Linked DNA regions of Diceros bicornis minor. The protein of the gene in region 2 interacts with the protein of the main gene of each other region in a pairwise test. Links are inferred from orthologs where the notes say so. Each region holds a gene or a part of one and is shown on either strand. Other genes may lie near its edges.

Region 1 (7,387 bases), on a different chromosome or scaffold from region 2:
CATGAGTTAATATATGAAAAGTATTTAAAACAATGACTGCCAGACAGTACTATATGAGTGTCATATACTATTACAATCTCAAAATGTATGGTGGTGTGTGAGAGAGCAAGACAGAGAAGTAGGACGATGCAAAAAGGGGCATGAAGTTATTCATTTTTATTATTCTCAAAAATAAATTTTTTATATATTTAATGTTATAAAATCTATGATATATTCATAAAATATTTTTAAGAGATATATGGAGCAGGTCGGTTAAAGGGTCTGGCTAAAAAGCCAGGGAGACCACTTATGAGATTAGCTCATTAAGTCCAAAGTGACAGAAGGGTGTTGACCATGGTTACTGGGAAAATAAAAAAGGAATGACAGAAAAGACATTCTTCTCTTTCAACACTGTGCTGCCTGTACTTCTATTTAATATCATTATGCCCAATCATAGTTGTTTCCCTGCTGCTCTCCACTAGTGAAGTTGATACATAGCAATAGCACAATAAATGTTACCCACTGTTGTTACTCTTCTTGCTGCTGTTGCAGCGAAATACTGAAAAAAGCCATTCGAATGTATCACCTACTCCCATGTTGTCCACATTTGAGATTTACATGGTAGCTCTTTCCTAACAACTATGTTATTTGTGAATCTACCCGTTAAAAATCCTTGCCTGGTAAAAGCACCTTTATTTACTACAGCTAGCTCCATGCTGAATACATATTAATTGATAAAGTTCACAACCCTGAAGTCTGAATATGAATAGCCTTCTGAGTTCATGTTGTAGTTTTAAAAGGTCTTTTTGTCTTGTCTTCTTTTTGTGTTGTCTTATTTTACAATCAGCTGTTTGTTAAGCTAAAGTGCTTTTTTAATTCTGCTGGAAATGCCAGCCTTATTTCTCACAGGACAGTTAAAGCATCTAAGCGGGCTCATATCTTATACACCGATAAACAAAATTTAGTCGTTTTTACTTTGAGACATAGTGACTTCCAAATTAGACACTTTGATGTAGCAGGTCAAGTTAATTAAGAAGGCTGTTATACTTTGACTTGTAAAGGGCCCTAGATATTCTTAGTGTACCCTTGATATTTAGAATCCTTTTCAAGCTGAGTTTACCATATAAAAATATATATGCTTTCTTATTAAACACTCCACGGGATCTCTGTCCAGGCTACCTCAAAGACTAAGGGTTGACCATTAGATAGTCACTGGTAGAGTGCAGCTGAATTCAACACTCATAAGAGTATTCCTTGAGCAGTCTCCCAGTGCTACATTTTCAGAGCAGTGAAAAGCCCTCTTCTCCCAATTAAGTTTAATCACAACTCCTACGCAGATAATCTCACCCACCTACTTAGTGACACTTCTTCCTAACAGTCTAACAGTGTCTCTCTTATCTTCCCTTTTACTGACCTAATTCCTGAATCAACTCCAATTGCTTCATTCATTCTTCGTCCTTATTCTTCCCAAAACTCTCTGCAAACTTATTACCCTCATTCTGCTGAAACCCTGAAGGTTACTTCTGGCCTCATTATCACAAATCCTGACAACAGTCATCAAAAGCTGAAACTGAGGAGAAGTGTGTCTTCCCCTAGGTGACTCTGCTTGCCCTAAACTTTTTTCCCCCGTTAGCTTCTATGACATAACTTTACCCTGATATTCTCCTGTCTTCTTCCCTCACTATCCTTTTTTCATGTTTTTACCTACGTTTACAATTCATCTAGCCCAACTCTACTTCCACACTACCTCTACTCATTCCAAATTATTTCAAGTTTCCTAAGAGCACCTATTGTCTTGTCACATGCCCCAAAATGCCTGTGATGCTTTTGTCTCCTTCCTTTTTCTGTTCTTGCCACAAGCATTTACGATTCCTTCATCATCCAGGTAGCTCCATCTTCCCTTCTAGGAAACTGTCTCTAGCCTACCCAAGCACTGCTAATCACTGTCGCCCAGGTTATTCTAGTATGGTAGTATTAAAAACTGTACTGTGTAATAATCTAATTACGTGTAGTTTCTCTTCAGTGTTTTGCTCTTTCAGAGCAGGGATTCTATCCTATTCAACTCCGTAATCTTAGAGTCTACAAGTGTGCCAGGCACTCAGCATCTGCTAAATACAGAAATAATGGCTCTCACTTCAGCCTCCTCACATTTATTGTCTATCTGTTCCTAACGCCGCGGTTCCCAAAATGCTAAGCGTTCGGTACTCCAATTCGCCAATTATTAGTGAGTGAACTGGCTGATGACCCTTGTGGAGGGGAAACCAGTATTTAAGATCATTTCCCCCTGTGGCCTCTCAAAAACGGCATTTACACACTGCAGTCATAGTAACAAGGTGGGAGGTGGGAAGCGCGCGCTCTGGGTAGGATAAGCACAGAACAAAGTTACTGGGAGGATGGGAGGGGGAGGAGCTGCAGGCAAAGGAATCAGCATAAGCAACGACGAGGATGCACTAGAGGCTGCGGACTCGGCCACAGCTGCCAAGCAAGCCGACTAGCGCGCCTACCTGTTCGCGGCGCGTTTCCAAGACCGGCCGTTACACCCACGTGACCAAAGGAGAAAGGTTTTCACAGGCCAGCGTGTGGGTACAGCCATCCCAGAGAGCCCTGGCAATGTTTGGCAACCTGGGCTGCCAAGCCGAAAGGTGAAGGGGGCATGGGGGACAGAGCCGGGCCAGGCCTGTTTCAATGGAAGACAGGAGCCTCGACAGAGAAGCACTGGACGTCAGGGTAGAACGGGGCGACCTCAGCGTCGCCTGCCGTTCCCCAGGATGGGGTGAGACGCTGGCCCAAGAGCTCTCTAAAGCGGGAGGAAAAGCAAAGAGGCGCTAGGGCCGACCTGGGGCTTATTCGAACGTCAACCGCTTCTTACCGAGAACTGAGAACCAGAAGTCGCAGAGACCGACGCTGCCGCCATCTTCCTGCCTGCCCAGCGGACCTCCGCAGCCCCGCAGCGGTCCGAGTTCTCGTGCTTTTCTTCAAAATTCGAGAGCCGCCCGCCAGGGGCGACCCTAAGCCGAACCCCTGATGGAAGGGGCTAGGTGGCTGGTGCCAGGTCCAGAAGCCCCAGCCACACACCCCCACAGGGACGCCCACGCTCAGAGCGGACACAGAAAGGGCGACACGCCCTAAAGGACGTCTTGAACAGCCAATCAAAAAAACGGACGTCTTCCGGGAGTAGGAGAGAACCCGCCTCTTCCCTCGGTGACGTCACAAGGTAGCGCGTAGCTGAGACTGCGGCGCGGGTAACGCTGCAGAATACTAGATGGCTCAGAGGGGACTCTACAAAGGGGCGGGCCTTCTCGAGGAGGAAACATGGGTGAGGGGTTGAGTTGTCTCCGGTGGCAATTGGATCGAATGACTGACAGAGGATAAAAGCGAATGCGAATTTCAAACACTCCATCGGTTCTCTCGGACTAACGCCGGAGAGAGCGTGAGCTTGACTCGGGGACGCCTCTCCAGGTGAAGTACTTACCTTTTGACCAATAACTAATAGAATTAGGAGGGGCTTAATGATTTGGTCCAATAAAAGTCAGGGGAAAAAGAGTAGAGTCAGAGAGTAAACCTTCGTGAACATTTGCCCAATTGGGTTGGGGCGCTCTCACCCAAACCTGTCACTAGCTGTTAGAAATGGCCGCGACCGGGACCTTTGGGCGGGGCGAGTTTAAAGCGGCTTTCGCGCGCTGAGAGCGTCGGGCTGTTATTGGCCAGCGACTTCCTCCCTTTGTGGGAGCTCCCTGCGTAGCCGGGGTTAGGCATTGGGAGGAGCGACCGAGAGACGCAGTACTCTCCCCAGCCAATCAGGAATGGGGAAGGGGGCCGAGAAGGAAGCGGATCCGCTGCCGCGCAGCTAAACCGCAAAGAACTATCCGCTTCGTCTCCCTCCGCCGCTATCGGGGCCTAAGCAGGAGCGGCTGGGTCGGCGTCACTTGGTGGGCTGGGGCGGAAGTGGAGGCGGAGGGAGACGGCGTCGGCCGCAGGGCCCTGGGATCTCGCAGCAAGGCCCTGGTGGGCGCGAGGCGGGGGGGGGGGGGAGGAGGAGGAGCCCGCGGCCCGGGCGGCGGTGGCGGCTGCGGCGCCCGAGTTCTCCGTAGGGCCCCGCCTCGGAGCGGGCGGCGGTGGAGGAGGAGACTGAGCAGGATGGCGGCCTCGGCCCTGTACGCTTGCACCAAGTGTACCCAGCGCTATCCCTTCGAGGAGCTCTCCCAGGGCCAGCAGCTCTGCAAGGTCCGTGGGCGCTGGGCGGCGGGCGGGCGGGGTTTCCTCGGCCGTAGCCCGAAGGTGCTGGGTGCCCGCTGCACTGCAGCGCTGAGCCCTTCGCCGGCGCCTTAGGGATTTGGAGCCTTCGCCTTCTCACCCGGGGACCCCTTTTTCCGAGGACCTGGGCATCAGCTGCGAAAGGCCCCTGGGAGGAAGACAGAATACTGCTGTCTTCCAGGCGGCCCAGGAGGGGCCCGGGCCCCAATAACGTTCAGGGGTCTCCGGGGTGGGGCTGAGTGAAGCAGCCACCTGTCTATGCTGCAGAGACCCTGGGGTGGAGATGTTTTCATCTCGTTTTTCTGCCTGGTCTGTCCTCTCCTTCCATCGGGAGGCGGGGGACGGTTTTTGCACTTTCTTGCTAGGAACCTGAAGCCGCAAAGCTGATGGCATCCTTCTTCCCTGTCCAGGAAAGCGAAGCGACTGGCTTGGGAACAGAATGCTCTATGATTTGGAGCTCCTCCCATCCCATTAAAGCCGGGATGCTGTCTGTGAGCAACGGTGCAAAATAATAAGTAGTTTCACATTTAACCAGTTCTTGAAATCGGCCCTGACAGCTTGCTTAATTTATCTGCAGCATACCCCCCACATCTAATAAAGACAAAGACACCTATGCCTTCCCCAAGGAATTGTGCTGTAATTGGCCACTTACATAAGTCACTCAATTGTCTACATCGGGGGACAGATTTTATAGCTGTTTTAGACATTTGACTAGGTTGGGTAATAATTTTCTACTAGAAAAGTGAAATTTAGGACTTTGAGATAGATACTGACTAATATATTGTTTTATTACAGGAATGTCGGATTGCACATCCTATTGTAAAATGTACTTACTGCAGATCAGAATTTCAACAAGAGAGGTTTGTATACTGAACAGTTTTTGATTGTTAAGGACAAAGTATTGTCTGTAAGGAATACTTGGGGGTTGTAATCCCATGTTTGTATTCAAGTTTTTTTAAAAAAATGGTTTAGTTTTTTAGATTTTAAGTTGTAAACTTTTTATGCATGATGAGAGAGAGAATGTTGACAAAAATTTAATGGTTATTTTACAGCTAGACTTCAGTTTACACATGAGGAAATAAAGAATAAATTGTCGCCTGAGAAATGTACAGCCTTGCTAACAAAAAAATGCAAATATAGATAGTTACTATTAAGCTATAAAAAAATGGCAAAACATTAGTGCTGGCTTGGACATGAAAAGAGGTCTTGAGTGTTACCAACTACCTTCCCCGGGTGAAATCTAGTAACTTGTTACCAGTGGAAGAACAGCACATACTTTTTTTTTTTTTTTGTGAGGATGATCGGCCCTGAGCTAACATCTGCCAATTCTCCTCTTTTTCCTGAGGAAGACTGGCCCTGGGCTAACATCCATGCCCATCTTCCTCTACTTTATATGGGACGCCGCCACAGCATGGCTTGACAAGCAGTGCGTCGGTGCGCGACCGGGATCCGAACCGGCGAACCCCGGGCCGCCACAGCAGAGCGCGCGCACTTAACCGCTTGCGCCACCAGGCCGGCCCCAGCAAATACGTTTTAACAGGGTGATTCTTAGAGAATCACAGCACATACAAGAGAGTAGCCTAAGACAAGAACAAATGATTTCTTCATGAGTAGGTGTGGACATCATATAGTGGAGAAGGCCCAGTGGAAGGTAAGGTAGGCACTGGTATGTAATGCTATACCTAAATAGTGGCAAGTGTGAAGATTTTGAAACTAGATAGGAAACATTAGGAGTTTTTGTTTAACAAAAAGTAAAAAATAAAAATATGTAAAAACATTTATCTTAAGCTATTGGAAGAAAAGTAAATTTGGATAATATACAACCCTAAAAGATACTTATGTTTGTATTTTCTAAAAAATCCTTGGTCTATATTAGAGTAAGTTTTAAGTACTGCTAAAGCAAATTGTTCTCTTTCACTGTTTGCTTTAGTTCAACATTGTGCTAGTTACTCAGAAAGCTACATAAATTTGATCATCTATATACAATTTCCTTTTTAGCAAAACTAATACAATTTGTAAGAAGTGCGCTCAAAATGTGAAGCAATTTGGCACGGTAAGTATGTCTTACATTTTCATTTCATTTTATTGTTACCGGTCAATTAATCTTTTTCACAATGATGGACCTTTTAAAAAATATGTATTGCTATGTTCTGAAATATTTCAACATACCAGAATATTTCAGGGAAGAAATTATTGGTATATTATAGTCATGATTAGTCAAAGTGCTGGCCTTAAGGCTCTATAAAATCCTGAATTGTCATTTGAACATCAAAGAAAATTAAGGTATGTTTGTTATAGTTTATGTTGAGTGTGCTTGTGCCAATATTTTTAAGTTGAAAACTCACCTATAGTATGTATTTCTTGAATCATCTGTACCTGTATATGATAAGTTGCTAAATGTTTTTTGAATAAATGATATAGTAATTAAGCTAACCAGAATATTAAATTAGTAAAACTTTATTCCTCCATATACTGGATACATCAAACTTTTCTATAAACGCATACATTTATTTTCATTCTTTGAGACCCTTTTCACGTGTAGCTTTTGTATTATATAACATGATATGCAAATCGTAAATAATGTTTCTCATGATCATTAAACTATTCAATAGAATAACAAAAAGTTTCATAGCTCTAGAAATAAATGTTAGTAAATGAATAGAAATATGATAAATGTCATTGAATGCGACAAGGCAACATACTTGACAGAAAAATTTTTTGCCTGTTTCCTTAATCCAGAAATATATTTGTACACTGGGTATATTTTATGCAGCAAATGTTTAATTTTTTTAAATGTCTCAATTAAAGGAAATGTTTATCTGTTTTTCAGCCTAAGCCTTGTCAATACTGTAACATAATTGCAGCATTTATTGGTACAAAGTGTCAGCGTTGCACAAATTCAGAAAAAAAATATGGACCACCTCAGACGTGTGAGCAGTGCAAACAACAATGTGCTTTTGATCGGAAGGAGGAAGGAAGAAGAAAGGTATATTACTTAGGTTATGACATCTGGAAATTAAATAAAACACCAACCAAGTTGGAAGTTATTATAATTAATACACTCTTGAGACTTGATGTATTCTTTGGGTCCCTGAAAGCAGGTAGTTAGATAAAAGTGCAGGAATAGTGTCATATGTAGATTCATGTTGATCAA
Region 2 (7,744 bases):
AGCTCCTGACGGTGGAGATGCTGCAGCCGGGCCAGCTCCTGCTTCCAGTCCTCGGCCTCCTGCTGATGCTGGCGCTCGAGCTCCTCACAGGACAGCCGCAGGGAGATATACTTCTCCTTCAGCTCTGCGAGCTGTTCCTGGGATTCCTCCAGCTCCTTGGCCAGGTTACCATCTTTGGTGTTCTTGCTCTTGAGGACGACCTGGGCCCTCACCTTGTACCTCTCAAACTCTTCCTTCAGCTGTTTCAGCTCCTGTTGGTAGTAGAGCGCAGTGGCCTTCTCCCCATCGGCAGCCTCTGAGCTGGGCATTATCTCCAGGTCACAGAGCTTCTCCACATCCAAGGTCACCTGGCTCTTCCTGGCAGCAACCTGCAGCAGCCTCTTCAGCTTCTCCATCTTGTCTTTTAGGACATTGACATCTAGACTGGACTCCTCTCCATGGCTGTCCAAAGGGGACCGGCTGGAGGCTGCTAGAGCCAGCGTCTTGTTCTCCAGGTCCAGCTGCAGAATGCGCTCCTTCAGCTTCTGGATGGCCAGCTGGTCCTTCTGCTTGGCTTTCTCATAGGTGCCCAGCAGTTCCGACACCTCGGATATTTGATTCTCCAGGGCTGCCACCCTCTGCTCTTCCACCTGAGATTGCTGGCGGAGTAGATCCTCTGCAAGGGCTGTCTGTAAAACAAGGGGACAGATGGAAATGCATGCAGAAAAGCCACAAAGCCCCAGGCAAACTTTGAGAAAGCAAGAAAGGGGAGCAAAATGGTCACAGGATTGGGATGGTCTGGCCAGAACGGGAACTGGGCTTTTCTGATGATTTGGGAGCTAACAAAATTCCTGTAACCTGCTTGGGTTCTGCTCCCAAACACACCTTATACCAAACGATACTAAGAACCTTTGTATATCTGCTGTTGTTCTGCTTTAGGGCTTCCACTCTCTCCTACCACATACAGAGCTCACACATAAAGTGTGTTATCTTTATCATGTGCTTCCCTAAATCCTATTAAGCAATCATATGACATTCTTGCCCTCTTCCAATATTCCTGAAAGTTCAAAATTGAGTTGGATCTCTCTCACACTGAAAGGAGGCACTGTAAAATAGCATACCTTTCCAGAACAGGCAAATCTTGACTGAAAGCAATTACAAGAGATTATTTCTTGAGAAAATTCCCTTTACGCCCTGCAGGCACCCCACCCCCTTCAGCCACCCCCCCATAGGCATATATGTCTACCTATATAGGTATATACCTATAGGCACGTACACTACCTTTCCCTGCACAGCTGCCACTATACTGCCTCACAGAGCGCAGCTGGTAAGATGCCAATGCCCAGAAGCTCAAAGCTGCCTGGCTCTGACCCAGCCTACACTCAGAAACTCCACATCCTGTTGGAAGCACACTCTGTGGATACTGCACAGAATAGGATTTCCCAAGACTCACAAGTGGAATTTTGTGAACAGCATCAAAAATGACAGTGCAGCCACTTAGTTCTAACTACCAGAGAAGAAAAAACCCTAATATTTCCCACTTCAGCTAAATGATTAATGTTTGCAGAAGACGAAGATAATTACCTTCCTCATTTCCTGCTGCAACTGGGCCTGGAAATGACTCTTAAGGCAGGCAGCCTCTTCCTGAAGTTCCTGCAGCCGGGGGTCTGGCCGATTCTTCTCATCTCGAAGAGCCTGCAGCTCACCTTTCAGCTCCTCCACTTCATGGGTCAGCTGCTTGGTCTGCAGCTCAAACCCTTCCATCTGACCAGCTGCATATGCCCGCCCAGCCAGGGCTTCTCGAGTCTCTTCCAACCGAAGCTCCAAGTCCTGGCGCTGGGTCCTCTCCTCCTGCAGCAGTTTCTGGAGCTCACGCAGCATCAAGGCATGGTTACTCTGCTCTTGGGCCCGGTCATGCTGTTGCGTGATAAGTCGTGCTTTGGTTTCTGCTATCTGCTCCTGCAGCCCCTTCACTTCTCCCTCCAGACGGCCCCTCTCCTCCTCTGCCTTCTTACTGGCATCCTCTAAGTCCTGTTTCATCTTCTTCTTGTCAGCCAGGTAAGAAGCTTCCATGCGGGACTTCTCCTGGGTGACTGTAGCCAATGAGCTGGTCAGAGTAGCCAACTGAGTCTTCAGCTGGTGCAGTCGTTTGTCCACCTCCCCACTCCCGGATGGTCCATCCCCACTGCTACTGCTGACGCCACTCTCCGACCCGCTGGCCTCTTCGGACTTTGGAGGTGGTGGTCCACGGGCCTGTCTGTCATCTTCTACCCCAAACTCACCCTTGGTGCTGGTGAGACTGGCCGCAGTGTCCAAGCTGGTGGCGGTCCCAGTGCTATCCTCGCTGTGAGTGGAGCATCGGTCATCCACAGAGTCAGGAAAGGTGAGGCCTGGAGGCTGGACGCCTGCAAGGCCCACATCCGCCTCATGAGACACCGACAGCACCTTAATGCTGGCCTCTAGCGCCTCTTTCTCTTTCATTAGGCTTTTATAGGCACGGACCACATCCTTGAGACGTGCCTGGTACTGGAGGAGTTGCTTCTTCTGCGTCTCAATGGTCTCCAGGAGGTCCTTCTTGCTCGGGCCGCCGCCGAAATTCATCCCAAACTTCTCCATGAGGGTTCAGAACAGGTTGCTCCACGTCAGCGTTGGGACAGCCCGGAAGAGGGTGGCGAAGACGCTGGCGGAGGCTGCAAACGACGGGGAGAGTTGTGCCCGCGGCCGCTCACTCTCTCCACCCAGCTGTCCGACCGGATGCTGGGCGGCGGGGCAGCCCAGCAGAAGTACCCGCCAAGTCCCAAGCCCGGAGGGCGGGGGCGGGTCCTATCCTAGAGGCGGGGCGACGTCAGCACCAGACAAGCACACTGCCAGGGCTCGCCCGCACTGCCCCAGAAGCCGCTCCGCGCTCCCTGCTCGCCCGGGCCACAGCAGCCCCAGCCGACCCTCGGCCCACGGTCGGCCAAGGCTTTAAGCTGAGCGCAGCCCCGCAATGATTGCCTAACTACAGCGGCCCCTCAAGGCCGCTTCCCGGTCCGCTGGAAGTGACGACAGCATGACGCCATAGGCTCCGCCCCCAATGGGCGCGAGGTGGGCGGGGCTACTTCAGCCGGTGGGTGGGAGGCGGCCTGTTGAGAACTCGGCTAGGCTGAGAGCTGACAGATTTTTGAAAGAGTGGAGCAGGCAAACTCGAGGACACGGGGGCGATGTTGGTTTGGTGGGGGCTACTGAGCTTGCCCTCGGGTTACGATCAGCGAGCGACAGGGGGCAACGTCGTAGTGAGTACCAGACACCTAGGTGAGGCACGCATCCCCACTACTTGGGGGCTCAGTACTTTTGTCCCTAAAGAGCAACAATTAAGGCTCCCATTTAGACCACTTTCTAGAACAGTGTTTGGCACCTAGTAGGCGTGTAGTATAATAATTATTAGCACCCTTCCTGAGTTCTGCTGAGTTGATTCAACAAATATATGTAGAGGGCATCCAATAGCCGTGACGTCCATCCTAAGTGCCAACTATGTTCCAGGAGCTTCATAAGAGTTTTGCTATTTAGTCTTTACAATAATTCTGCTCAGTAGGTATTATTAGCACTGTTTTACAGATATGGAAACATAAAGCACAAAGAGGTTAAGTAACATGCCCAAGGTCCCTTAGCTAGTAAGTTTAGGAATCCTATCCAGACCAGTGCGGCTCTCACATACCAAGTGCTGTTCCAGGTGATCACCATGAAGAGACAGGGTCCTGCCCTCAAGGAGCTCACATGTAATGAGGAACCAGACGTGCAAACACAAGTCCTGCAATCATACCAGTATGTATGAGTATATTCAAAGTGGTATGGAAGTTAAGAGGAGGGAGGCCTGCCTAGGGGAGGCAGAGAAGGCTCTCAGGGAAAATACTTTGAGATTTGAAGGATGAGTAGTGATTGCCCATCTAACTAGAGATGAGGGAAACAAGCATTCCAGGCAGAGAGAAAAGATTTCAAAGACTCCTGGGGCATCAGAGAGCCCGGCTCACCCGGGGAAACATTGAGAATCATCTCAAGGCAGTTGCTTAGGATATGTGAAGGAGGTGGCAAGAGATGGGGCTGACACAATAGTTGGGGGACCCAAATTAAAGCATTTACATTTTATCTGCGGTGATAAGAATACACTAAAGCATTTTAATCTCGAGAGTGTCATCATCAAGACTTGTATGACAGGGTGGAGACACCAAGGAGCAGGAGACTTGTGAGGAGGCTATTTCAGTCATGGGGAAGAGATGGCAGTGAAATAGGACAGTGACAACAGGGATGGAAAGAAAGAAGCTAATTAAAAAGGCTAAACATGTAAAACTGACCTGACTTGGTGACCACTAGTTGTGTTATTATATTGGGACTCGTTTAAATATACTCTTCAATCTTGTAAAAGCCTTCTTAGGAATGCAAGTCTGTGACTGAAGAGTAAAGTCATACACTCACTCATACCTAGTGCCCAAAGTCTGTTCTTTTTACAGACTTTAAAGGTCAGGATGGGGCTGGAGTTCTGTTCAGACCCAGTTTCTTAGTGGCCCAGATAACATGCAGTTGCGTTATACAAAACAGATACATTATCTCATCATTTTAATCTTCACCATAACCTCATGAGATAGTTAGGGCAGATATTAGTCTCCTTTTATAGATGAGAAAATGACAGGTTGTGAGGATTGTTGAAGCCTAAGCCCTCAAAAAAAAAAAAAAAAAAAGGCAGAACTGAGATTTGAGCTGAGGCCTGGAACAATGGCACATAGCAGGCGTTCAATAAACATTTGTTGAATGAGTGAATGGACAAATGAAGGTTCTCTGATTCCCAGCTCACTTCTCCATGTCCAGTCCATATGCAGTTGATCCTAGAAACTCACTGGGAATCCAGAATAGGCAAAATGCCTGCCCTTGCTCCACTGAGCAACCTATTACTTCATTCAACCAAGCAAGCATTTGTTAAGCATATATTAGGTGCCTGGCATTGACTGGGTCTCCGCCACAGAAGAAATTTAAATTAATTCCTATCTTGCTATTTCCTCTCAGATGCTAAGATGAGTGGGGAAATTACTTGTGAAGCTCTTTGAGTCTAGGGCCACAAGAGCCTCACAAAATCCTGGATAGGTGTGCACTAAAAATCCAGGTTCCCAGATCTGTGGCAAAGTGAGGAAGGAGCTGCAGAACGGCTGCCTGGGTCAACTGAAAAGCACTGTTTCCAGGGCCATCAGGGCGAAAGCGGAGTTCTCCAGTATGCAGGAGTAGGGTTTACAACCGCCTGCCCAGAGCTGGGAATCTTCCACTGGTTCTGCTGGTTGGGGAGATCATGAAGCAGGTGTTTTAAGGAACCTTACAGGCCAGCTAGCACTCGGGCATCTTCTTCCCCCACCTCTGGCGCCCTCCTCTTGAGATTCTACGGTCACTGAACCACCCACTACGCTCAAAGCCCCTCGCTGGGAGCTGAGGGGGCAAAAAGGAGGACTAAGACGCTTGCACAGAACTTCCGGTCTCCTAGGAGGGTAGTGCACACAGTCGATGCTGCAAGTTACCCAGGGCTAAACCGGGACGCAACAAATCAAAGCCCAGCGGCCAGCCACTGAAGATGAGACCGGGGGGCCGCTGTGGAGCGTTATAGGCTTTCCTCTGCCCCGCTCGGGCTGCGGGTTCAGCAGCCACAGACCTGACAGGCGCGCTAGAAACAAGGGGAGACCCAGGCCCCTTCCCTCTTTAAAGCCGGCGCGGGACCTAGGCTGGCTGTGGACACTAGCTCAGCTTCAGTTTTCCTCGGAGCCAGAGCCTGGGGGCGGGGCGGGGGCGGGGTTGGAGGCGGGCCCCGGACGGAGGCGGGCCCGCAGTGACGTAGGGCGGGCCGGGACGCGCGGAGGCGGCGGCGGAGCCTCCTTCTCCTGCTGCTGCGCCCCATCCCCCCCGCGGCCGGCCGGTTCCAGCCCGCACCCCGCGTCCGTCCCCGCGGCCCCTCCCCTGGGCCCCGCGATGGGCCTCACCGTGTCCGCGCTCTTTTCGCGGATCTTCGGGAAGAAGCAGATGCGGATCCTCATGGGTGAGGCAGATCAAGCGCGCGGCGCGGACCGGAGCGCCGGCCCCCACGCAGCCTTCCCGCCCCCGCGTCCCTTCTACCAGCTCACCTGTGTCTCTGACCCCGAGTCACCCACCTCCTAACCTCTCGGGGCCACTGCTCTCGGGCGGGTCGCGGTCTGCAGCTCCAAGCCCCGGGGCCTGAGACCGGGAGCTGCGGGCCTGGGTGGGGTGAATCTCCCTCCGCCCCAGCCTGGCTGGTTATAAGGGAGGATTCCGCCCTTGCAGACGACTTTTAAAAGGAGTGCGGCCCTCCTCCTGCGCCCCTTACTCCCCAGTCCTCTCTCGCCCCTCGCCCGCCTTGGGGGCAGGAGTTGGCATTCACCACCCAGGCTGCCCTCAAGGCCCGGAAGGTAGAGCACAGCGCGCACCTGCCGGCGCTCGGGCTCTCCGCCCCCGTCACCATCAGCTGGCTTGGTCTCTCCCCTTCCGTGGTCTCTAGGGGGCTCCCTCGCTCCCGTCTCCATCCCTGTGCCCCTCTCCGTTGCAGTTGGCTTGGATGCAGCTGGCAAGACCACGATCCTGTACAAACTCAAGTTGGGGGAGATCGTCACCACCATCCCCACCATAGGTGAGTCCGGAGGCGAGGCCAGGAGGAGTGGGAGCGCGGCGGCGGGCCTTCTCAGAGTCTGCTCCCCATTCTGCCCCAGGCCGTTATCTCTGTGCAGGGAGCTGACCCTGACACCAGATACGGCTACCTGAGAAGCGGCTCAGGGTATCTTTACGAGAGCGGGATGGATGTGACCAAGCCCCGCCCCGTCTGTGGACTGCCAGGCCTCTGGGGGTTCTGTTCCCTTGGGCCTTGATCATTGCCTTCTGGTTTTGTGTCTCTGCTGAATCCACGTAGTTTTAGTGAGTTCCTTCCTTTCAGGACTTTTTCCTCATATTTTTTCCAATTATCTGCAGGCTTCAATGTGGAAACAGTGGAATACAAGAACATCTGTTTCACAGTCTGGGACGTGGGAGGCCAAGACAAGATTCGGCCTCTGTGGCGGCACTACTTCCAGAACACTCAGGTCGGGGAGTGGGGGAAGGAGGGGGCACTCCCCAACCCCAGGGGAAGAAGAGTTAGGGTTAGGAAGACTGAGATGTTGGTCTAGGCTGGGCCCCCAGGCCAGGAAAAAATCCTCTAGCCCTCCTACCCTCCTTTTGCAGGCTAGCCTCTACTCATCCTTCAGAACTGGCCTTAGTCTTCTGAGACTTAGCCACCTTAGGCTTCTCCTGAGAAGCAGGGTTCAGGATCCACGCTGCCTGATTTAGCTCTCATCACATCCTTTCCCCGTTCCCTTGCACAGCTTTGAGCTAGACTGCTTGCCTGAGGGCAGAGGCTGTATCCTTTGCAGGGTGTCTCCAGTTTGTGCCAGGATGCCTGCAGAGCCCTAGTGGAAGTTTACTAGATGAGAAAGATTTAGACACAATCAAAGATGGGAAGGAGAAAGGGCCAGACTAGGCTATGTCCCAGGGGGAGTGATTGCTCTTCTTTCCTTTCTTCCTTCGCACCTAGGGCCTCATCTTCGTGGTGGACAGTAATGACCGAGAGCGGGTCCAGGAATCTGCTGATGAACTCCAGAAGATGGTGAGCACCCAGGGCCCTGGGGACTGAGCCCTCGGTTTGGAGACAGAGAGATCTCTGTGCTGGTGTGAAAGTCAGGAAATGCCTCCCAGGCCTTGAATGTGCATT

The links.
Region 1: the proteins of GCC1 (region 2) and CEP57 interact in binary tests that used the Homo sapiens proteins (3 or more experiments, as listed by UniProt). The two-hybrid records come from large-scale screens. The link is inferred for Diceros bicornis minor from reciprocal best matches to the Homo sapiens genes GCC1 and CEP57.

The regions. Positions count from the first base shown.
Region 1 is NC_080746.1:38,220,043-38,227,429, forward strand, and holds the start of CEP57 (centrosomal protein of 57 kDa), read right to left. Parts: upstream 3,024-7,387; 5' UTR 2,894-3,023; coding exon 2,849-2,893; intron 1-2,848. Other genes in the region: protein FAM76B, read left to right, coding at 4,117-4,203, 5,029-5,093, 6,232-6,286, 7,064-7,219. UniProt on the Homo sapiens protein: Centrosomal protein which may be required for microtubule attachment to centrosomes. May act by forming ring-like structures around microtubules. Mediates nuclear translocation and mitogenic activity of the internalized growth factor FGF2, but that of FGF1.
Region 2 is NC_080742.1:76,638,282-76,646,025, forward strand, and holds the start of GCC1 (GRIP and coiled-coil domain-containing protein 1), read right to left. Parts: upstream 3,008-7,744; 5' UTR 2,596-3,007; coding exon 1,564-2,595; intron 669-1,563; coding exon 1-668. Other genes in the region: ARF5 (ADP-ribosylation factor 5), read left to right, coding at 5,962-6,028, 6,554-6,634, 6,970-7,079, 7,568-7,639. UniProt on the Homo sapiens protein: Probably involved in maintaining Golgi structure.